3 linked regions of the Anolis sagrei genome follow. The protein of the gene in region 1 purifies or fractionates together with the protein of each later gene. This does not show direct contact. Links are inferred from orthologs where the notes say so. Each region holds a gene or a part of one and is shown in the gene's direction. Other genes may lie near its edges.

What was found.
Region 2: the proteins of FXR1 (region 1) and CEP63 purify together in Homo sapiens (co-immunoprecipitation; 3 studies listed by BioGRID and IntAct, with this or other methods). This does not show direct contact. The link is inferred for Anolis sagrei from reciprocal best matches to the Homo sapiens genes FXR1 and CEP63.
Region 3: the proteins of FXR1 (region 1) and TDRD3 purify together in Homo sapiens (affinity purification with mass spectrometry; 3 studies listed by BioGRID and IntAct, with this or other methods). This does not show direct contact. The link is inferred for Anolis sagrei from reciprocal best matches to the Homo sapiens genes FXR1 and TDRD3.

Annotation. Positions count from the first base shown.
Region 1 is NC_090023.1:258,304,525-258,312,282, forward strand, and holds the start of FXR1 (RNA-binding protein FXR1), read left to right. Parts: upstream 1-4,689; 5' UTR 4,690-4,984; coding exon 4,985-5,035; intron 5,036-7,758. UniProt on the Homo sapiens protein: mRNA-binding protein that acts as a regulator of mRNAs translation and/or stability, and which is required for various processes, such as neurogenesis, muscle development and spermatogenesis.
Region 2 is NC_090023.1:225,698,443-225,706,251, reverse strand, and holds the start of CEP63 (centrosomal protein of 63 kDa), read left to right. Parts: upstream 1-4,761; 5' UTR 4,762-4,849; intron 4,850-4,863; exon of another isoform or gene 4,864-5,156; intron 5,157-7,809. Other genes in the region: ANAPC13 (anaphase-promoting complex subunit 13), read right to left, coding at 410-535, 1,080-1,178. UniProt on the Homo sapiens protein: Required for normal spindle assembly.
Region 3 is NC_090023.1:136,662,793-136,669,748, reverse strand, and holds the start of TDRD3 (tudor domain-containing protein 3), read left to right. Parts: upstream 1-3,908; 5' UTR 3,909-4,058; coding exon 4,059-4,099; intron 4,100-6,956. UniProt on the Homo sapiens protein: Scaffolding protein that specifically recognizes and binds dimethylarginine-containing proteins. Plays a role in the regulation of translation of target mRNAs by binding Arg/Gly-rich motifs (GAR) in dimethylarginine-containing proteins.

The DNA of each region.
Region 1 (7,758 bases):
CCTCCGGTCTGAAGGTGGTGCTGTTGAACGCCAGATCTGTCAACGGAAAAACGACCTGGATCCAGGACTTAATCCTGGACGAACGGGCAGATCTGGCGTGCATCACGGAGACCTGGTTGGATGAAGCTGGAGGAGTAAATCTGACCCAGCTTTGTCCTCCGGGTTTCTCCGTGCAGCACCAACCTAGATCCGGAGGGCGGGGAGGCGGGGTCGCAGTGGTCTATAGGGACTCCATCCATCTGACCAGGTGCCCCATCCCGCAGACCGCAAATTTCGAAAGCGTCTACCTGAGGGTGGGTGACCGGGACAGTATAGGGATTCTAGTAGTGTACCGTCCACCTCGCTGCACTACAGTCTCCCTACCTGAGCTAGCGGGGGTGGTCTCGAGCCTGGCATTGAAGTCTCAACGGCTTCTTGTGCTGGGAGACTTCAACGTCCATGCCGAGACAACCCTCACAGGCGCAGCTCAGGACTTCATGTCTGCCATGGCAACCATGGGGCTGTCCCAACAAATATCTGGCCCCACCCACTGTGCTGGACACACATTGGATTTGGTTTTCTGTCAGGGATGGGAACAGGGTGGCGGTGTGGAGGAGTTGTCCATCTCTCCGTTGCCATGGACCGACCACTTCCTGATCAGATTTAGGCTCACTGCGCCCCCTAACCTCTGCAAAGGTGGAGGACCCATTAAGATGGTCCGCCCCAGGAGACTGATGGATCCGAATGGCTTCCTGACGGCTCTTGGGGATTTTCCCGCCACCTCGGTAGGTGACCATGTCGAAGCCTTGGTGGCTCTCTGGAATGGGGAGATGACCAGGGCTATTGACATGATTGCTCCGGAACGTCCCCTCTCAAGTAGCCGAGCTAAACCAGCCCCTTGGTTTACTGAGGAGCTGGCAGCTATGAAGCGAAGGAAGAGGGAACTAGAGAGCGTGTGGCGTTCGGAACCGAGCGAGTCAAACCGAGCACGGTTTGTGTCCTCTCTTAGGGCATATGCCGCGGCAATAAAGACCGCAAAGAAAACTTTCTTTGCGGCCACTATTGCGTCTGCAAAGAACCGTCCGGCGGAGCTGTTTCGGATTGTCAGAGGTCTTTTAACTCCCGCCTCTGCAGGTGGGAGCCCTGACAATTCGGTCGCGCGCTGTGAAGCATTTGCTCGGTTCTTCGCAGACAAAGTCGCCTTGATCCGTTCTGGGCTGGACGCCGCGTTAGATGCAGACTCTGTGGATGTAACGAGAGCACCTGCTTGTCCTATTTTGTTGGATTCTTTTCAGTTTGTGAAACCCGAGGATGTGGACAAGATACTTGGAGGAATGAGGCCCACCACGTCCATCCTAGACCCCTGCCCATCCTGGCTTCTGAGAGAGGCCAGAGGGGGATTGGCCGAGTGGGTAACAGTGGTGGTGAATGCCTCCCTTCGGGAAGGCAAGATTCCAGCGAGCCTAAAACAGGCTATTATAAAGCCGCTGTTGAAGAAGCCATCACTGGACCCCACTAAATTGGACAACTTTCGGCCTGTTTCCAATCTCCCCTTTTTGGGCAAAGTCATGGAAAGCGTGGTGGCCTCACAACTCCAGGTATTCTTGAGAGACACGGATTATCTGGATCCGGCACAGTCTGGTTTCAGACCGGGGCATGGTACCGAGACGGTCTTGGTCGCCTTAGTGGATGATCTGCGCCGGGAGCTAGACAGGGGGAGTGTGTCCCTGTTGGTGCTCCTGGACCTCTCAGCGGCCTTCGATACCGTCGACCACGGTATCCTTCTGGGGCGCCTTGCGGAAATGGGTCTTGGAGGCATTGCTTTGCGGTGGCTCCGGTCATTTCTGGAGGGTCGCACCCAGAAGGTGTCATTGGGGGACTCCTGTTCCGCACCACAACCTTTGACTTGTGGGGTGCCACAGGGTTCCATACTGTCCCCCATGCTATTTAACATCTACATGAAGCCGCTGGGTGAGATCATCCGGAGTTTCGGGGTGCGGTGTCATCTGTACGCAGATGATGTCCAACTCTGTCACTCCTTCCCACCTGCTACTAAGGAGGCCGTCGAGGTCCTGAACCGGTGCCTGGCCGCTGTAACGGTCTGGATGAGGGCGAACAAACTGAAACTAAATCCAGACAAGACAGAGGTACTCCTGGTCAGTCGCAAGGCCGAACGGGATATAGGGTTACAGCCTGTGCTGGACGGGGTCGCACTCCCCTTGAAGGCGCAGGTTCGCAGCTTGGGTGTGACCCTGGACTCATCGTTGAGCCTGGATCCCCAGGTTTCAGCGGTGACCAGGGGAGCATTTGCACAGCTTAGGCTTGTGCGCCAGCTGCGCCCGTATCTCGGGAAGTCTGACTTGGCCACGGTGGTACACGCTCTTGTCACATCCCGCCTGGATTACTGCAACGCTCTCTACGTGGGGCTGCCCTTGAAGACGGCCCGGAAGCTTCAGCTGGTCCAGCGTGCGGCAGCCATGTTACTAACTGGAGCGGGTAGCAGGGAGCACACAACGCCCTTGTTGTCCCAGCTTCACTGGCTGCCGATTTGCTACCGGACCCAATTCAAGGTGCTGGTCTTGGCCTACAAAGCCCTAAACGGTTCCGGCCCAAAATACCTTTCTGACCGCATCTTGGCCTACGAGCCCACGAGGACCTTGAGATCGTCTGGGGAGGCCCTTCTCTCGATCCCGCCTGCATCACAGGCACGGCTGGCGGGGACGAGGGAGAGGGCCTTCTCGGTGGTGGCCCCCCGGCTGTGGAACACTCTCCCGGCACACATCAGACAGGCGCCCTCCCTCATGTCCTTTCGAAAAAGCCTTAAGACCTGGCTGTTCGAGAGGGCATTTAATTAAGTGCTAAGCAACAACATTACGGTAATGAGAACTGGAATGGTATAAGGAAAATGAGACTGGCTATGATTCTATTAAGAGACGAAGCGGATTTTTATGTAGTTTGTATTTGTTGTATAGTCATATGTTGTTGATACTGGCCTCTGTAACTGTCTTTTTATGTGTACTGTACACCGCCATGAGTCGCCCGTAAGGGCTGAGAATGGCGGTCAATAAGTGCATCTAATAAATAAATAAATAAATAATAAATGTCTCTACTCTTTACTATTTTATCGAGATTGGACATTGCTCTCCTCCCAAGAAGTAAGCGTCTTCTGATTTCCTGGCCACAGTCTGCATCTGCAGTCATCTTTGCACCTAGAAATACAAAGTCTGTCACGGCCTCCACATTTTCTCCCTCTATTTCCCAGTTGTCAATCATTCTTGTTGCCATGATCTTGGTTTTTTTGATGTTTAGCTGCAACCCAGCTTTTGCGCTTTCTTCTTTCACCTTGATTAAAAGGCTCCTCAGCTCCTCCTCGCTTTCGGCCATCAGAGTGGTGTCATCTGCATATCTGAAGTTGTTAATGTTTCTTCCAGCAATTTTCACCCCAGATTTGCATTCATCAAGCCCCGCACATCGCATGATGTGTTCTGCATACAAGTTAAAAAGGTTGGGTGAGAGGATGCAGCCTTGCCGTACGCTTTTCCCAATCTTGAACCAGTCTGTTGTTCCGTGGTCCGTTCTTACTGTTGCTACTTGGTCCTTGTACAGATTCCTCAGGAGAGAGGCAAGGTGGCTTGGGATGCCCATCCCACCAAGAACAATTTATTATGATCCACACAGTTAAAGGCTTTAGAATAGTCAATGAAACAGAAATAGATGTTTTTTCTGAAACTCCCTTTCTCTTTTTTGGCTGATATCCAAACAGGCGATGAACTGATGTCTCTGCCTTGGTCCTTTCACTATTGGCTGCCACTTCCCGGTGGAAGTGCACTTGACAGATGCAACTATCTTTCGGGTTGCAAAGGTCGACAACAAGCTACACAACTGGTCGGAAGCTCACTCCGACCCGGGCTGGCTTTGAACTCGTGACCTTTTGATCAGAATGTTTTTTTGTGAGTGACGGTCACTCGTTGGCCTGAGAGGTGTCCACATTTGGTGTCAATTCGTCCAGTGGTTTTTGAGTTATGTTAATCCCACAAATGGAGCCCCCGGTGGCGCAGTGGGTTAAAGCACTGAGCTGCTGAGCTTGTTGAGCGAAAGGTCGCAGGTTCGATTCCGGGGAGCGGCGTGAGCTTCCGCTGTCAGCCCTAGCTTCTGCCAACCTAGCAGTTCGAAAACATGCAAATGTGAGTAGATCAATAGGTACCGCTCCGGCGGGAAGATAACGGCGCTCCATGCAGTCATGCCGGCCACATGACCTTGGAGGTGTCTACGGACAGCGCTGGCTCTTCGGCTTAGAAATGGAGATGAGCACCACACCCCAGAGTCAGACATGACTGGACTTAATGTCAGGGGACTACCTACCTACCTTTAATCCCACAAATAATAGTAAGTATTTTTATATTATTAATATATCAGTATTAGTAATATATTGTTAGGAGTATTAGTGTACTAATAGGAGACTAATAGGAGACTCTGTGGAGACTAATAGGAAACTGTGGAGACTAATAGGAAACACACCCACCCCGCCTTCGCCCTCTGAGGCGAATGAAGAAGCAAAGGAAGGAAGGGAAGAAAGAAAGAAGCGCGGAGAGCTTTGCCGTTGGGCGCGCGCGCAGGAGCGAGGCAGGGCGCATGCGCACAGCGGAAGGATTCGAAGGTCGGTGTAGGACGACACACACACGCACAGAGAAAAAAAGAAGATCCCTCCGCGCCTGTGACCCGCCGCCAGAGACTGAGGCAGGCGGAGGTGGGAGAAGAAGAAGAAGAAGCCCCGCCCCCTCGCTTGCGCCGCTCCTCCTCCTCCTCTTCCCCCCTCCCTCCTCCTCCTCCTCCTCCTCCTCCCCCCAGCCGGGTGTGAGGAGGGGGCACCCCGAGGGTTGCTTGGCCTTCCTTCTCTCCTTCCTTCCTCCCTTCCCCCCTCCCCTCCCGCTCCTCCCTCCTCCCCCTCCCCCTCAGGTGGGGATCGCTTCGAGAAGCCCGTCCCAGCGTCCTTTGCGGCCCCAACATGGAGGAGCTGGCGGTGGAAGTGCGCGGCTCCAACGGGGCCTTCTACAAGGTAAGGCCTCGCTCGCCCGCCCGCCCTCAACCCTCATGGGGAGCTACAACAGGCATGGGCAGGCTCGGGCCCTCCCTCAGCGGGTTTGGGACTCCAACTCCCACCATTCCTAACAGATTCAGGCCCCTTCCTTTTCCCCTTCAGCCGCTTAAGCGGCTGAGGGGGAAAAGGAAGGGGCCTGAGGCTGTTAGGAATGGTGGGAGTTGGAGTCCAAACCCCCTTGAGGGAGGGCCCGAACCTGCCCATGCCTCTATAAGTTTGGGGCTTTGTTTGTGTTGGTAGAAAACCCCTTTTCATCAATACATTGTATCCCCCCTAAAAAAAATAACATTAAGCCAGGTAAGGCGTGTATGTCCCTCTCTCAATGTCTATGTTTAGATACATAATAATAATAAACTTTATTGTGTTGGTAGTAATAAAAATAATAATAAACTTTATTGTGTTGGTAGAAAAGCCCACTTCATCAATACATTGTATCTCCCCTAAAAAACAACAACATTAAGCCAGGTAAGGCGTGTATGTCCCTCTCTCAATGTCTATATTTAGATACATAATAATAATAATAATAATAATAATAATAATAAACTTTATTGTGTTGGTAGAAAAGCCCACTTTATCAATACATTGTATCCCCCCCTAAGAAAAACAACATTAAGCCAGGTAAGGCGTGTATGTCCCTCTCTCAATGTCTATATTTAGATACATAATAATAATAAACTTTATTTGTACCCTGCCACCATCTCCTCAATGGGGACTCGGAGCGGCTTACATGGGGCTTAACCCGAACAAGAATTAAAATATAACAATACTGCTTTGATTTGGATGGAAAATAGGAGAAAGGCAAGTCAGAAGTATGTGCATCAATAGGAGCATAGTGTCTAGATCTAGGGAAGTCATGCTACCCCTCTATTCCGCTTTGGTTAGACCACACCTGGAATATTGTGTCCAATTCTGGGCACCACAATTCAAGAGAGATAGGGACAAGCTGGAAGGTGTCCAGAGGAGGGCGACTAAAATGGTCAAGGGTCTGGAGAACAAGCCCCATGAGGAGTGGCTTAAGGAGCTGGGCATGCTTAGCTCAAATGAGAGGAGATATGATAGCCATGTATAAATATGTGAGAGGGAGCAAGCTTGTTTTCTGCTTCCTTGGAGACTAGGACGCGGAACTATGACTTCAAACTACAAGAGAGGAGATTCCATCTGAACATGAGGAAGAACTTCCTGATTGTGAGAGCCGTTCAGCAGTGGAACTCTCTACCCTGGAGTGTGGTGGAGGTTCCTTCTTTTTAAACAGAGGCTGGATGGCCATCTGTAAGGGGTGATTTGAATGCAATATTCCTGCTTCTTGGCAGGGGGGTTGGACTGGATGGCCCATGAGCCTCTTCCAACTCTTTGATTCTATGATTCTATGAATACAAATTGCAATAAAATAAACAACATAACATTAAAATAAAACATCAAAGCATATAAAACAATATACACAGAACATAGGGACTAAACATAAGATACATAAGGAGAGGAAGGAAGTAATATACACAATAGAAATTATTATAAAAAACAAAGAGGGAAAACAAGTTTTGGGCTGTGTTTGAGGAGTTTGTGAATATATTATATTCCCCACAATATTAAGTCAGGCAATCCCTCTATATCTATATGTATCTATATAAATAAAAATGTAATGTACGTGTGTGGGATTAATATAACTCAAAAAGCACTGGGCAAACTGACACTAAATTTGGACACAATACATCTATCAGGCCAATGAGTGGCCATCACTCATAAAAACACTGAACCCTCTATCTATATAAATGTAATGTATGTTTGTGGAATTAATATAACTCAAAAAGCACTGGACGAACTGACACCAAATTTGGACTCAATGAGTGGCCATTACTCATAAAACACTGAACCCTCTATATATCTATATAAATAAAAATGTAATGTATGTTTGTGAAATTCACATAACTCAAAAAGCACTGGGCAAACTGACACCAAATTTGGATACAATACATCTATCGGGCCAATGAGTGTCCATCACTCATTAAAACACTGAACCCTCTATATATCTATATAAATAAAAATGTAATGTATGTTTGTGGGATTAATATAACGCAAAATGCACTGGACAAACTGACACCAAATTTGGACACAATACATCTGTCAGGCCAATTAGTGGCCATCACTCATAAAAACACTGAAAAACACAGTGGAAGAGAATTTAAAAAGCCAAAATAATAATAATTAAAAAAAATACATTACAACGCATGCACAAAAACACATATATACATAAACACACATTATATACATATACACAAATATATATAAACATATATGCATATATATATACACACACACACACACAACATATATACAGAAGGGGGAGGACAGAAGGAAATAAAGTGATAGAAGAAAGGAAAGAAAGAGAGAAGGAAGGAGAGAAGGGATGAAAGACAGAAAGAGGGAAGGAAGGAAGAAAAGAGAGAAGGATGGAACTCGAGAGCAAAGGAAGGGAGGAAAGAAAAATGTAGAGAAGGAAGAAAGAAGAAGGGAAAGAAAAAGAGGGAAGGAAGTAAAGAGAGAGTGAAGAAAGGAGAGAAAGAGGGAGGGAAGGTTGGCCACAGCAATGCGTGGTGGGTACAGCTAGTAAACAATAAAAATTACTATAAAAAAGAGGGAAAATACGTTTATGGGCTGTGTTTGAAGAGTTTGTGAACATATTGTAT
Region 2 (7,809 bases), about 33 Mb from region 1:
CTCCAACAAAAGGAAAACAGTTTCACTTGGCAAGTTTTACCTATTCACACAAAAATAAATTAAAAATGAAATTCAAATGCCAAACTGAGCTGACAACTACCACCTAGTTTGGTCATTGTTTAATATTCCTGTGATCAGACTTCAGCTTTGTGGTTCATAGCAAAGAGCATAATAGTAATATATATTATTAAAAATGGATACCTGGAGCGTTTTTAGTGTGTGCCAATTGTGATATCCTTTAAGCATTGATAGGAATTGCGTCAGTAGCAAAGGACCTATGACAATAATTTCTTGTGATTTAAGCCTAGACATTTTCCACATACACCTTCCTTCCATAGCAAAGAAGGCTGAAAAGAACAATAAGAAATACATTTGCAGAGAAATTGCTGCACGAGACATTGACAATAGACTAGTTTCCTGTTGGAGGAATATTCTCATGAAGATATTGCAAAGCCAAGTCAGACCATTTCATTTCTTGTTCTTTTACTGATTCTGTTGTTCCACCATTGTCTTGCTCTGGTTCAGGAAGCTCATTCTGGGTGCAGAAATATATTAAAACTGTTTTAAAATGCTGAGAAAAACATCTTTGCACTGATGAACATAGGAACACATAGAACAAAATAATCACAAACAAAGAAAATCTTTTGAGTAAACATTCTTAGAATTCATCTGCAGTGGCTTGCTGACAAAAGTTCTATATGTACACACACAGTAATCTTGAAAGCCACTATGCATTTCTTATGAGATGTAGTGAGAAGTAAAATGCGCCGATCTGGGAATGAAACTGAAATAGATCTAGGCTCTACTTATGAACTATCCACACGTTCATTCATCTGCACTGCCACTACGGTTTTGTTTTGGTTAATTTATTAAGGTTTTTTAGTTTTTTTAAAGATTATTTATCTTTGAAATTTCGATGTCACCTTTCTCACAGCATGGGAAATACGGTGGTTTACAATATTAGAACTTATTGTTGCAATAAGCACTGGGAGCGGTTTGGACGAATGGTAAAATATATGGTTGTAAATAAAAAGGATGGGGAATATCAATTCAGAGTCATACCTGGAATATTTACTTACCAATGGGATTGCCACATCTTCATACGGTAATTTATCTTCTCTCCATGCATCGTCAATCAAATCTAGGATCCTCCCATCCCTCTGTACCTCACTGTCCATCTTTGCTTTAAAGAGAATGAATAAGATTTGTGGTGCATAGCATTGATGTTTTACTGCCTCATGTACAGAGGAAGAAGTGTTGGAGGCTACAGACAATGCCGTTGTTGTTGTTGTTGTCCTTTTTTGGTCAAAACATATTTAGCTTCTTGTGCTCCTATTTTTATCAGTTTTATACTAATTTATGCAATGCTTTTGATACAAAATAAAAATAAATGTTTTACTAGTCGTTTATCTTTCTGGAATGTGTCCAGAGGAGGGTGACTAAAATGATCAAGTCTGGAGACCATGAACTGGGCCTTCAGAAGTGAATTTATTTATTTATTTATTTCCGGTATTTCTATCCCATTCCTTCTCAACCCGCAAAGGGGAACTCAGGACAGCTTACATCTGGCAGCAATTCAATGCCACTACATATAACACAGCAATAGAATAACAATTAAAACAATAAGTAAAACATTCATTAAAACAGTAAAAAACAGTATTAATAGCCGTAACATCGTTCCAGTCAATTCCATATCCAATTCCATGTCCAAAGTGCTATCTATGCCTGTTGTCCAAAAGCCTGGTCCCAGAACCACAACTTCCATTTCTTCCTAAATGACAGGAGGGATGGAGCAGATCTTACCTCAGTGGGAAGCGAGTTCCATTGATAGGGGGCCACAGCCGAGAAGGCCCTGTCTCTTGTTCCCTCCAGACATATTTGTGACGTTGGCGGGAGCAAGAGCAGGGCCTCCCCGGATGATCTTAAACTGAGAGGCGGGACGTAGAGGGAGATGTGTTCGGACAAGTAAGCTGGGCCAGAACCGTATAGGGCTTTATAGGTCAAAACCAGCACTTTGTATTGAGCTCGGAGAACATTGTACTCTGAATTATCTCCTCCAGCGGCTTCATGTAGAAGTGAAGACTGAGAGAAGACATGATCACCATATTTAAATATTTGAAAAGATGCTATAAGGAAGAGGGAGCAGGATTGTTTTCTGCTGCCCTGGAGAATAGGACTTGGAGCTGTGGGTTCAAATTACAGTAGAGGTTATTTTACATAAACATTAAAAAGAATTTCCTGACTGTTAAGAGCTGTTCAGCAGTGGAACTCTCTGCCTCGGAGTGTAGTGGAAGCTTCTTCATTGGAGGCTCTTAAACAGAGGCTGAATGGTCATCTGTTGGGGGTATTTTGATTGTGCTTTTCCTGCATGGCAAGAGTTTAGACTAGGTGGTCCATGCGGTCTTTCCAACTCTATGATTCTCCTAAATACATTCCTTCATAGGAACTCATGGTTATGTAAATGAAACATACATGGAAAAAGCTTATTATAGATTCCTGGGAAATACCAACACTATCTTTCATCTCCATTTTTATATGCTTTCCATTTTTTCGACGAGTTACCATCTATAAAGATGTCTGCCCCGTTGTTCCATATGTGGTAAGTTTACTTAGGGTCTTTGGTGGCAGTATCAAAAACTTTTTGTGAATACAGATTTTTGATTCCCGCAGATCCCTCCCTATTTATTACGAGAATGATACCAATAAGATAATTCCACTGAGTAGTAGCCTTACAGGGTGGCTCATAAGGAATAGAATCATAGAATCATAGAGTTGGAAGAGACCTCGTGGGCCATCCAGTGCAACCCCCTTGCCAAGAAGTAGGAATATTACATTCAAAGCACCCCCGACTGGTCATCCAACCTCTGTTTAAAAGCTTCCAAAGAAGGGGCCTCCACCAGACTCCGGGGCAGAGAGTTCCACTGCTGAATGGCTCTCACAGTCAGGAAGTTCTTCCTAATGTTCAGATTTATTTACTTATTTATTTATCGTGTCAGTATCAACCAAACAATTGTATTACATTTTTAACAAACTTTTAACAAACAGACAAAACAAAGTTTGCAAGCTTGGTAGCTGATTAAATGTCCTTTGACCAGTAGCTGGCCACTTGGACTGCCTCTGGTGTTGCTGCAAGGAGGTCCTCCATTGTGCATGTGGCGGGGCTCAGGTTGCATTGCAGCAGGTGGTCTGTGGTTTACTCTTCTCCACACTCGCATGTCGTGGATTCCACTTTGTAGCCCCATTTCTTAAGATTGACTCTGCATCTTGTGGTGCCAGAACACAGTCTGTTCAGCGCCTACCAAGTCGCCCAGTTTTCTGTGTGCCCAGGGGGGAGTCTCTCATTTGGTATCAGCCATTGATTGAGGTTCTGGGTTTGAGCCTGCCACTTTTGGACTCTCGCTTGCTGAGGTGTTCCAGCGAGTGTCTGTAGATCTTAGAAAACTATGTCTTGATTTAAGTCGTTGACGTGCTGGCTGATACCCAAACAAGGGATGAGCTGGAGATGTTCAGATGGAATCTCCTTTCTTGTAGTTTTAAGCCATAATTCCATGTCCTAGTCTCCAGAGCAGCAGAAAACAAGCTTGCTCCCTTCTCCCTATGACTTCCTCACACGTATTTATACATGGCTATCATGTCTCCTCTCAGACTTTTCGTCTTCAGGCTAAAGATGCCCAGCTCTTTAAGCCACTCCTCATAGGACTTGTTCTCCAGACCCTTGATCATTTTAGTCGCCCTCCTCTGGACACATTCCAGCTTGTCAATATCTACATATCTACAATAAACTACTGTGTTTCATCTCACTGGTCATCCAGCCTCTGTTTAAAAGCTTCTAAAGGAGCCTCCACCACACTCCGGGGCAGAGAGTTCCATTGCTGAACGGCTCTCACAGTCAGGAAGTTCTTCCTAATGTTCAGATGGAATCTCCTTTCTTGTAGTTTGAAGTCATTGTTCCGCATCCTAGTCTCCAGAGCAGCAGAAAACAAGCTTTCTCCCTCCTCTCTATGACTTCCTCTCACGTATTTATACATGGCTTTCATGTCTCCTCTCAGACTTTTCGTCTTCAGGCTAAAGAAGCCCAGCTCTTTAAGCTGCTCCTCATAGGGCTTGTTCTCCAGACCCTTGATCATTTTAGTCGCCCTCCTCTGGACACATTCCAGCTTGTCAAGATCTCTCTTGAATTGTGGTGCCCAGAATTGGACACACTATTCCAGGTGTAGTCTAACCAAGGCAGAATAGAGCATGGGTAGCATGATTAGAAATAGAAAACATAGGACTGGTACATCTGAGCACTTAACTATTACAGTTAATTGATGTCAAGCTGCATTTACACAAGGCATAGGGAAACTTGGGCCCTCCAGGTGTTTTGGACTTCAACTCCCACAATTCCTAACAGCCTCAGGCCCTTTCCTTTCCCCCCTCAGAAGCTTAAGCGAAGGAAGGGGCCTGAGGCTGTTAGGAATTGTGGGAGTTGAAGTCCAAAACACCTGGAGGGCCCAAGTTTCCCCATGCCTTGTGTAAATGCATCCTGACTTCCCTATGTGGATACTTGTGGCCACTTGCCTGCCTATGGATTTTTCAAAGGAAGGAAAAGGTAACTTGTGGAGCAAGCACTTCCCACCCTCTCACCTGAAGCGCCTCAACACCACTGGCCTCTCAACCTCAGGAACAGAGGACGTGACGTCACAGGCGGCCACTCTAGGCGGCGGTAACCACAGAGAGACAGAAGCGGCGGCGAAGGGGCGGGGCTCCAAGTCCGCCCCCAAACACTATCAACGGGGCTTCTTAGACCGCACGTAACGGATGAAGGAGTCGGTTGCAGCTTCCGGTGTCTGCCAGAGCGTGAACGGAAGTGAGGCACTTGTGTTGAGAGACTCTTTTTTCTCTCTCTCTCTCTCTCTCTCTCCTCCTGAGAAATTTGAATCTTCATTCCCTCGCTCTGGAGTGTCTCTCTCCTGCGTCTTTCCCTCTCTATGAAAAAGGGAGCCATTGCCCCACAATGAGCTCCTCCTCTCTTCCTAATGGGAGCTCCAGTCTTTCATCTCACTGACCACAAGGACAACTTTGAACTTATTTCAAAAGGGAGGGGGAGAGAGGGTTATTTCCAGGCCTAAATCCATATTGTTAACCGCAACCCAAAATATACCAGTGGGAATTTGGTAAGTCTGCATTTATTCAGTTGTTTAGTTACACAAATGCAACCACACTGACAAATTAATACTGTTGGATACCACTTTAAACTGCCTGGCTCAATGCTGTGTAATCTTGGGAGTTGTAGTTTGACAAGGTATTTGGCCTTATCTGCCACAGAGTGATGATGCCTCACTAAACTTGGGAAGTCAGATCTGGCCACAGTGGTCTACGCTCTTGTTACATCCCGAATAGATTACTGCAACACACTCTACGTGGGGTGGCCTTTGAATATTGTTCGGAAACTTCAACTAGTCCAGTGGGCGGCAGACAGATTACTCCCCAGAGCGTCATACAGGGAGCATACCACCCCTCTGTTATGTCAGCTCCACTGGCTGCCAATCCAGTTCCGAGCATAACTCAAAGACCTCACCTCTGAGGATGCTTGCCATAGATGCAGGCGAAACGTCAGGAGAAATGCCTCTAGAACATGGCCATATAGCCCGAAAAAACCCACAAGAACTGAGTGATTCCAGCCATGAAAGCCTTCGACAATACATAACTCAAAGTGCTGGTTTTGACCTACAAAACCCTATACGGTTCCGGCCCAGCGTATCTGTCTGAATGCATCTCCTTCTACGTCCCGCTTTGAAGTTTGAGATCTTCTGGGGAGGCCCTGCTCTCGGCTCCACCTCTATCACAAATGAGATTGGTGGGGACGAGGAGCAGGGCCTTCTCGGTGGTGGCCCCTCACCAGTGGAATTCACTTCCTGGGGAAATTAGGTCATCGACATCCCTCCTCTCCTTTAGAAGGAAGCTAAAAACATGGACGTGGGACCAGGCCTTTGGGTGATCTGGCAGATAGACAAAGGACAACAATGACTGGAATGGATAGGATTTGACAATGTGGAATGAATTTATGGATTCCCGAAAAGCTGATGAGTTCTCAGGAAGTACTAACCAGGCCCCCTCTGCTTGAGCAATAACAGATTGTGTACTACGGGTTGAATATCCCGTATCTGAAGTACTTGGGCCCAGAAGTGTTTGGAATTTTAGGATACTTGCATACACATAATGGGGCATCTTTCAGGTGGAACCCAAATCTAAACATAAAATTAATTTACATTTCGTACACACCTTATTCACATGGCCCAAAGGTGATTTTATGTACAGTATTTTTAGTAATTTTTTTAATAGAACAAACTTTGTATATTAAACCACCAGAAGGCAAAAGGCCACAGTATCTCAGCCACCCATGTGAATAGGTTTTGGTTTTGGAGTATTTCAGAATTCCAGTTCCAGAGAAGGGATTCTTACCTGATGATATGTCGGTTTTGAAATAAAACAAACCTACAGTTGAATACAAATGCTTAGAATCAAACTATTCTGCAGTTCTCTCCAGATATGGAGAAAAGCCAATTCGACTTTTCAAATAAAGACATTTAGTGATTGCAATGTAGACTTAACTTTGTATTTAGTCCATATGAAAATATAATATTATATAATTTCTTCAGAAGCATGCACATGTCTTCATGTACTGTGAATTGATTTGTACAGCGTATTTTATGTGTTCAAGGTCTAACTGTATAAAGATAGGAGGAACTTTGTGGTGATATTAAGGAATAATAAGTAGATGTGATGCATTGTATTAGTAATTGGGGCTAAGTAGCACTTATTTATTTAATCTGAAACCTACCTGTTGTGTATTTATTTATGACATTGATTTGAATTCAGGAAATGACATTCACTTAAGAGTAGGAGCACTGTACAGGTTGAGAAAAACTCACCATTGAGGAATGGGCAAATTCAGTAGGCAACAGTAAAAGCTGCAGTCTGCGGAATACAATGATGCACAACTCAGTGCATTATTGAATACCCAATCCAGTTCTCCCCAAACTTTTTGTGATAATTGGATTTTAAAAAAAAATTGGCTTGTTGTGAAAACAGTGGAGAGCCCTTTTCCCCATGATAACTCTTTCAGGAGTGAATTTCCAATCCAAGGGGTACATTTCTCTCATTTCCTCTTGTCTCTCCCCCATCCTTAACTATGAGTCATTAGTAAGTCGGATGTTTGTAACTCGGGGACTGCCTGTATTTGAATTGGATGCAGAATCATAGTAATTAATCTATGATTTGTCTGTTAATGTGTGAATATTGACATAAACACTGGTATGATATTACATATATCTACTTCTTAATTCATGGAGGACCCAGATCATTTATGTTACCATTGAAATCAGTGCAGTGGGTTTTTAAATGTATTTTTTCTGCACCTATCCATGTTATGAAATGATCAAGACTTAGATCAGGTTGGTCAGTATGGGCAGGAGTCTTGATTTTGGTCTGAGAATTGTAATGTGAAATCAGTGCTGGGTTTGTTGCGATAGTGTGGTGGTATTAATACAAAGCTGCCACTTCTAGAGATCCCCAAAAACAGTAGTGGGGTTTTTTAATTGCCCAACCAACTTTGGATGCAGTGGCTTTGAAGAGGTTTTTTTTGGAGGCGGATAGATGTTGAGAGCTACACAAAAGGGAAATGAAAACCAAACTGACAAGTGAATCTTTTTTATTTCCATGTGCTTTGTAAATAAAATGTTTGTTGGTTTTTAATATGCTGTACCGTAAATGTGAGCTACTTATAACTCAAAACAGAAGGAGATAAACTAGACATCCTCAAACAGT
Region 3 (6,956 bases), about 120 Mb from region 1:
ACTTTCCCAGTGGAAACATCTTAAAATCCTTGATGCCAGTGAAAAAAATATTAGGGTAAATGTGGAAATCCTTTAATCATATTTGGTATAAAACTCTCCTTGGCACTTGTATGGACTTCTATAAGGGAGGGGAACAGATTCCCAAGCAATTTTTAACTGCAACTTCCATTAGGCATGCCTATGACAGATAATGTTTAAGCGTTTATTCAATCAGTACTCCAAGACATATGGAGGTCCAAAGTTTCAAACCCATGATAAATTTGCATTTTACTCTTAGTTTTTGGAATATATATATATAACAATGGTGATCATTAAAGTAATAATTGCTACTGGCTAATGTAAAAAATATAGATCGGGTCAATGAGAAGGGCATTTTGAAAACCAATATTTGTTTTGGAATATTTAATAAAACCAATGTAAACAAGGGAGGAAAAGAAACATGTAAGTCTCAGTTGTAGAAGTATATTGTTTCTATTGTGCAAGTCCCAACTTCAAACTCTGACTTCTATTGAAAGAGAAGTAAAAGCCCTTTGCCTGAGAACCTGAAAAGTGCTTCCAGTAAAAATAGACAATATTGGATGTTATGGACTAATGGTTTGATCTGGTATCATCCAGCTGCCTGTAGATGTTAATTTTAAAACATTTTAAAGCAATAATTGTATAAAGCTATGAATAAAACTCTGTGTTTCTTAACTGTTAGTAGAGGAACATTTCCTCCAGAAAGCGACTTCACATATATGTTAGGATTCTTCTGGATACATAAGATCCTTTAATAGATTTTGATTACATAAAATCTGCATGAATGTCTTAGTGACTTGTAAACAGGAAATCAAATTACCTATCTGTATGGCTATATGAAGGAGATCTGATGCTACATTAGTCTGAGGCCAAGGGAGACAAGGAAGAACCCATGAATATTTCATGCCTCCTTTCCTTTAAAAAGCAGCAATAACTTACAGTTCTCCTTCTATTGCATTTTTTTTTACAAAGGTTCAAACATGGAATCCTGTTTTCCTATGTGGGAAAAATAAATCAAGCATTGCCAGGAATTTTTTTTAATTATCAGAAATTTTTGAAATTTGGTTGATAAAATAAGCTGGAAAAGCCCATTTTATTAGCTGATTAGACTTGTCGTTGCTTGGTATTTAATATATTGTTATGTGGTCATTTTGATACAGCGGGAGTAAAGAATTTACAAAAGTTTACCAGTGGTCATATTGAATAGCCTGACATTAATCATCATGTTCGATTATGCTTTCATAATCATATGCCAAAGGCTGTCTGCATTGTTTATATTTTATCATAACCATACTTTTCTACAAAGTAGGAAAGTTTTAATTTTAAAACATCATGTTATGCCATTATTTTTTTTATTGAACAGAATTCATTTAGTATGTAAGGTCCATAAGATCCTCTATTTTGAGAGGAGTCTCTGCCACTTTGTGACAGGAAAGCAGTCTAGTTCTGCCTTGCAAATTTTCTCTTGGAGGCCTTGCTTATTAGCATACTGGAAATGCTCTGGTGATGTTCTCATTTTATGCTTATTATATGGTTATGTAAATCTGTTTGTTCATTATTGAAAGACTCAATTGAAAACATTAATCTGATTTAGAGTAAAGCAATAGATGTCAAGTTAAAATTTCTTCTATGTGGCTGCTGCTTCACTGTAAAAAAAAACACTTTTCTTGCTTTACTGCAACAGCAAAGCAAAAACTCATGCTTTTAAAGTAAGGGAAAAGTCAAATAATATCTTCAGTCAAAGTAGGATTTGTGAAAATAGTGAACTTGGCAATACAAATAGATATTATTAATTGAAAAAATAAGCAAGTAACACCTACAGTTAGGTAATAACTGGAATGACATAAAGTATGCAAGACTTTTGGTTCTCTGGCACTCATCAGGCATAGTGGGACAGTGAGTAGGCAGGTAAAGAAACAAAGGAATCCCATAATAAGGGGCCATAAGAAGATATTGGTCATACATAACCAACACCAACCTGACAAAAGCACTTTGGAAACTTCTGAGTAGCATCCAAAAGCAGGTCCGCACAGAGCTCATACTGGCAATCCAAACAGGTGTAACTGGGACTAGTGGCTAGATTTGACATCTCAACAAATAAGTGCAGCTTGTTGTTCATTCGTTCAGTTGTTTCCGACTCTTTGTGACCTCATGGACCAGCCCACGCCAGAGCTCCCTGTCGGCCGTCACCACCCCCAGCTTCTTCAAGGTCAGTCCAGTCACTTCAAGGATGCCATCCATCCATCTTGCCCTTGGTCAGCCCCTCTTCCTTTTACCTTCCACTTTCCCCAGCATAATTGTCTTCTCTAGGCTTTGCTGTCTCCTCATGATGTGGCCAAAGTACTTCAACTTTGTCTCTAGTATCCTTCCCTCCAATGAGCAGCCAGGCTTTATTTCCTGGAGGATGGACTGGTTGGATATTCTCGCAGTCCAAGGCACTTCACGGTTTCGCTCATGACATCATTGAGGTGCTCAAGCTCCAGCGCCACGACAAGGAGGTGACCCTTTGCTGGAGCTAGCACAGTAATTTTAACTGTGTGAAGGCACTCCTGTCCACTGCTGAATGTGAGTTTTTGGGCTCATGACTGAATCCAGAAGTATGCTCAAGCTATGGACTATTTCTGGGCATAACCTGATTCATCTTTTGGTAACACCTCTATTTTGCCTGAATTAACCTTCAATATGTTTGCCGCCATTCATTCCATTGTTAAACATATTGATTTAGTGCCAAAATGAAATCTGCCCATGTGAAGCAGATAAATATAGCACTATACGGAAAATTGGAGCCCCCGGTGGCGCAGTGGGTTAAAGCACTGAGCTGCTGAGCTTATTGATCGAAAGGTCGCAGGTTCGATTCTGGGTAGCGGCGTGAGCTTCCTCTGTCAGCTCTAGCTTCTGCCAACCTAGCAGTTCGAAAACATGCAAATGTGAGTAGATCAATAGGTACCGCTGTCATAAACCTACACTTGTTGATAGATTCTATAAGCTAGCTGGCATTGCCCCCCCCCCCCCCCCGCCCGCCATGTGCAATGGGAAAATGCTGCCAATTGCAAGAAAAATAAGGTTGAACACTGTGAAAGCCGCCCACTGCATGGATATCAGCCTCCTTCCAGTAGACTTAAATCAAGGAAAAGTTAAATGAGAAGCACTACGCCTCTAAATGTTCCTCCAGCAGCAGCAATAACAGATAATATGGGATAAACACAAAATTAGGGACCGTATCCTGGGACATTGGGCCTGTCTGGGGCCCTTTCCAAACAGCAGCATAAGATCCCACACGATCTGCTTTGAACTGGGATATATGGCAGTGTGGACTCAGATAATCCAGTTCAAAGTAGATACTGTAGGATCTCCTGTCCTGATATTCTGGGTTCTATGGCTGGGTGGAAGGCCTTGTGGTCCATATTGCCATAGATTCCAATGCAAAGCCGATAATGTGGGATTGTATTCAGCTGTATGGAAGGGACCTCAGATATTTCAGTTCAAAGCAGACATTGTGGATTATTCTGCCTTGATATTCTGGGTTCCATGGCTGTGTGGAAAGGCCATAACAAAAAATAAATAAACCTTGAAAGAGACCACTAGCACGCCCATGCAGGAGAGAAAGTGCGATTTCTGACTGGAGCCTACTTTCGCCTGCGTTTTCTGAGGCGAGGACACAACGCGAAAGGCAGGGTCCCCGCGCATGCGCACAGCCAGCCAAGAGACGTTCCACGCGGGCAAGCCTTTCCCCGCCCTTTCCTAACAGCCGAATTAGCCGCCAGCGCGACAGTCCGGGGAACTCTATGGCGGAAGTGGGGAGGGCGCTCTTGCCGAGCTGGCTTCCGGTAGCGTGTGAGAGGCGGCTTGGCGGGGGAAGGGAGGGGCGGGGAAGGGAAGGGAAGGGAAGGGGCGCTGTGGTCGGGGCGGAGGCGGGGCCGAGGCCGAGGCCTCCTCTGCGCCGGGCGCCACCTGGGCCTCCCCCGAAAGGCCTCTCCCCCGCGGAAAGAACTTCGTGAAGGAGGAAAAGGAGGAGAGGAAGAAGAAGAGGAGGAGGGACCATGGCTGACGGCGCCGCCTCGACCCTCGCCGAGTCCGGCTGGTGAGGGAGGGAAGCGCCGCAGAGGAGAGGAGGGAGGGGGTTGCTTTGCGTTCTCCCTCTCGGCGCCCTTTTGTATACATGGCCGTCTCCCTTTGTAGACGGAGCAGCCTTGGCTCGCTCAGCAGAGGCCCTCAAACCACCCTTCCCTTGGCCTTGGCCCTCTCGCCTGCATCACAACTGTGGTGGTTGTCCTAAAGTTGGGAAATTTACACTCCCCTCTGCACTGAGATAGTGACACTTGGGGTTCCCAACGCCACAGGCCTCGTTACAATGACAGCATTATTTTACAGCCGTGTATACAATTACACTTGTGTGTATGGGGAACATCTATGGCTTTCGCGTGTAGACTTCGGCCTCCTCTCCAAAATATCGCGGGATGTTTAATCTCGTGGTGCAATAGTACAATGACAATAAAGCTATTCTATTCTATATACCAATAATAATACAATATAATAATTTTGTGTTTCATCTATATAAATAAAAATGTAATGTTCGTTTATGGGATTAACATAACTCAAAAACCACTGGACGAATTGACACCAAATTTGGAGACAATACACCTCTAACAACCCAATGAGTGACCATCACTCATAAAAGCACTGAAACACACAGCAGAAGAGAATTAAAAAACCAAAACACAGAAAATGCATTACAACGCATGCGCAAAACCACATATATACACAAGCACACATATCTACAATACACCGAACAACCCAATGAGTGACCATCGCTCATAAAAGCTCCCGGTGACGCAGTGGGTTAAACCCCTGTACCGGCAGGACTGAAGACCGACAGGTTGCAGGTTCGAATCTGGGGAGAGGCGGGTGAGCTCCCTCTATCAGCTCCAGTTCCTCATGCAGGGACATGAGAGAAGCCTCCAACAAGGATGATAAACATATCATCCGGGCGTCCCCTGGGCAACGTCCTTGCAGACGGCCAATTCTCTCACACCAGAAGCGACTTGCAGTGTCTCAAGTCGCTCCTGACAAAAAATAAAAACTCATAAAAGCACTGAAAAACACAGCAGAAGGGACTTAATAAGCCAATAAATAAATAAAATAAAAAAACACATTACAATGCATGCACAAAACCACATATACACAAATATATACACACACACATATACACACACAGATTACATATACATAGACTGGGCCACAGTAACGCGTAGCAGGGGATGGCTAGTATTACTAACAATATTACAGTATAGTGATATAGTACAATACAGTAATATATAATATTAATATTGTACTATTCTAATAATATATTGTATGTACATATAACTTGTAAGCCACTCTGAGTCTCTTTTGGAGTGAGAAGGGCAGCATGTAAATGTCATAAATAAAATAAATATATGCAAAGATATATATCCTAAATTCTAAAACGCTTCTGTAATCCCTTTTTGTTTTGTTTTGTAATCCTTTTAATTTCAGCACATGTTTTAACTGTTACATATTTTTGCCTATCAGTGACAACCTTCTGAATTTTATTAATATTTATTATTGTGTGAGTTTAATGTTTGATTTGGTTTTATGTTTATTATTAGCTACAGTATGGTCTTGGTTATCCAACATAAACGGGTTGGCAGAATGATTTTACAAATTAAGCATCAAAACATCTTGTTTTACAACAAATGGACAGAAAAAGCAATTCAATACACGGTAATGTTATGTAGTAATTACTGTATTTACAAATTTAGCACCAAAACATTGCAATGTATTGAAACAGTTGTGGATCTGGGCGGGAGGCAGACGGTGTTGGATAATACAGAACATTGAATCAGCAAAGGTTGGATAAGCAAGACACTACTGTATATTGTGTTCTTCTGTTGTAAGCCGTCCCGTTATATAAATAATGTTGTTGCTGTTGTTGTTGTTATTATTCTGTTACCAAGAGTTTTTGAGAAGGGATACTCAGCGTCTCACTACACTTGAGCATTTCCCCCACTTTAGTCCACTTTAAATCCAGTTTCTGCCTCCTGCAGAACTCTGGAGCTTGTAGTTTAGGGCGACCCAGGGCTTCTTTGGCTGAGCAGTTTAAAGGCCCCTCTCTAAACTACAAATCCCAGAATTCTGCAGGAGGCAGTCACAGCATATAAAAACGCTCAAGTGTTATAAGGTCCTGAGTATCCCTTCTCCAAAACCCTTGGGAACAATAATAATAACAACTCTATTCTTATACCGCACCACCATCTCCCCAAAGGGACTCAGGACAGCTTACATATGGCTAAAAATGCCTACAAAACAAAAGAAAAGCAATCCATTAAAGCAAAACCACAATTAAAATAAGAGCATAGTAAAATATATCAAGATAAAAACAAATAAAAAAAGAATATAAAACATAAAACTGAAGTGTTTTGGATTTTAGGATAGTTAGATTTGCATATAAAATAGCTTTATTGTTATTGGGCCCTTCCAGACAGGCTCTGTATCCCAGGATCTGATCCAAGTTTTTCCGTTTATCCCAGATTATTTGGCAGTGTGGAGTCATATAATCCAGTTTAAAGCAGAAAACCTGGCATCAGATCCTGAGATATAGGTCCTGTCTGGAAGGGCCCATTGTACTATTGCACAAGGAATTTAATTGTGATGAGGCCCTCACATTGTAGTGCCAGAATCTTTTGTTTGATTCCTGAAGCAGACTGTCTAACCAAAATATACATTTACATAGCAATACCAGTATATGTGACTTTCTGTTGACAATGCAACGGGAACACAGACATGCCTGTCTCTTAAGGAATTTGCAACCTAAATTTTGGGCACAACAGGGTAAGGGAAGGGAGAGCATAATGTCTTCAACTAACGTATGCAGATGAAGCAACCACATGATTGCTGACCATATCCAGTTTGTGTTTCAG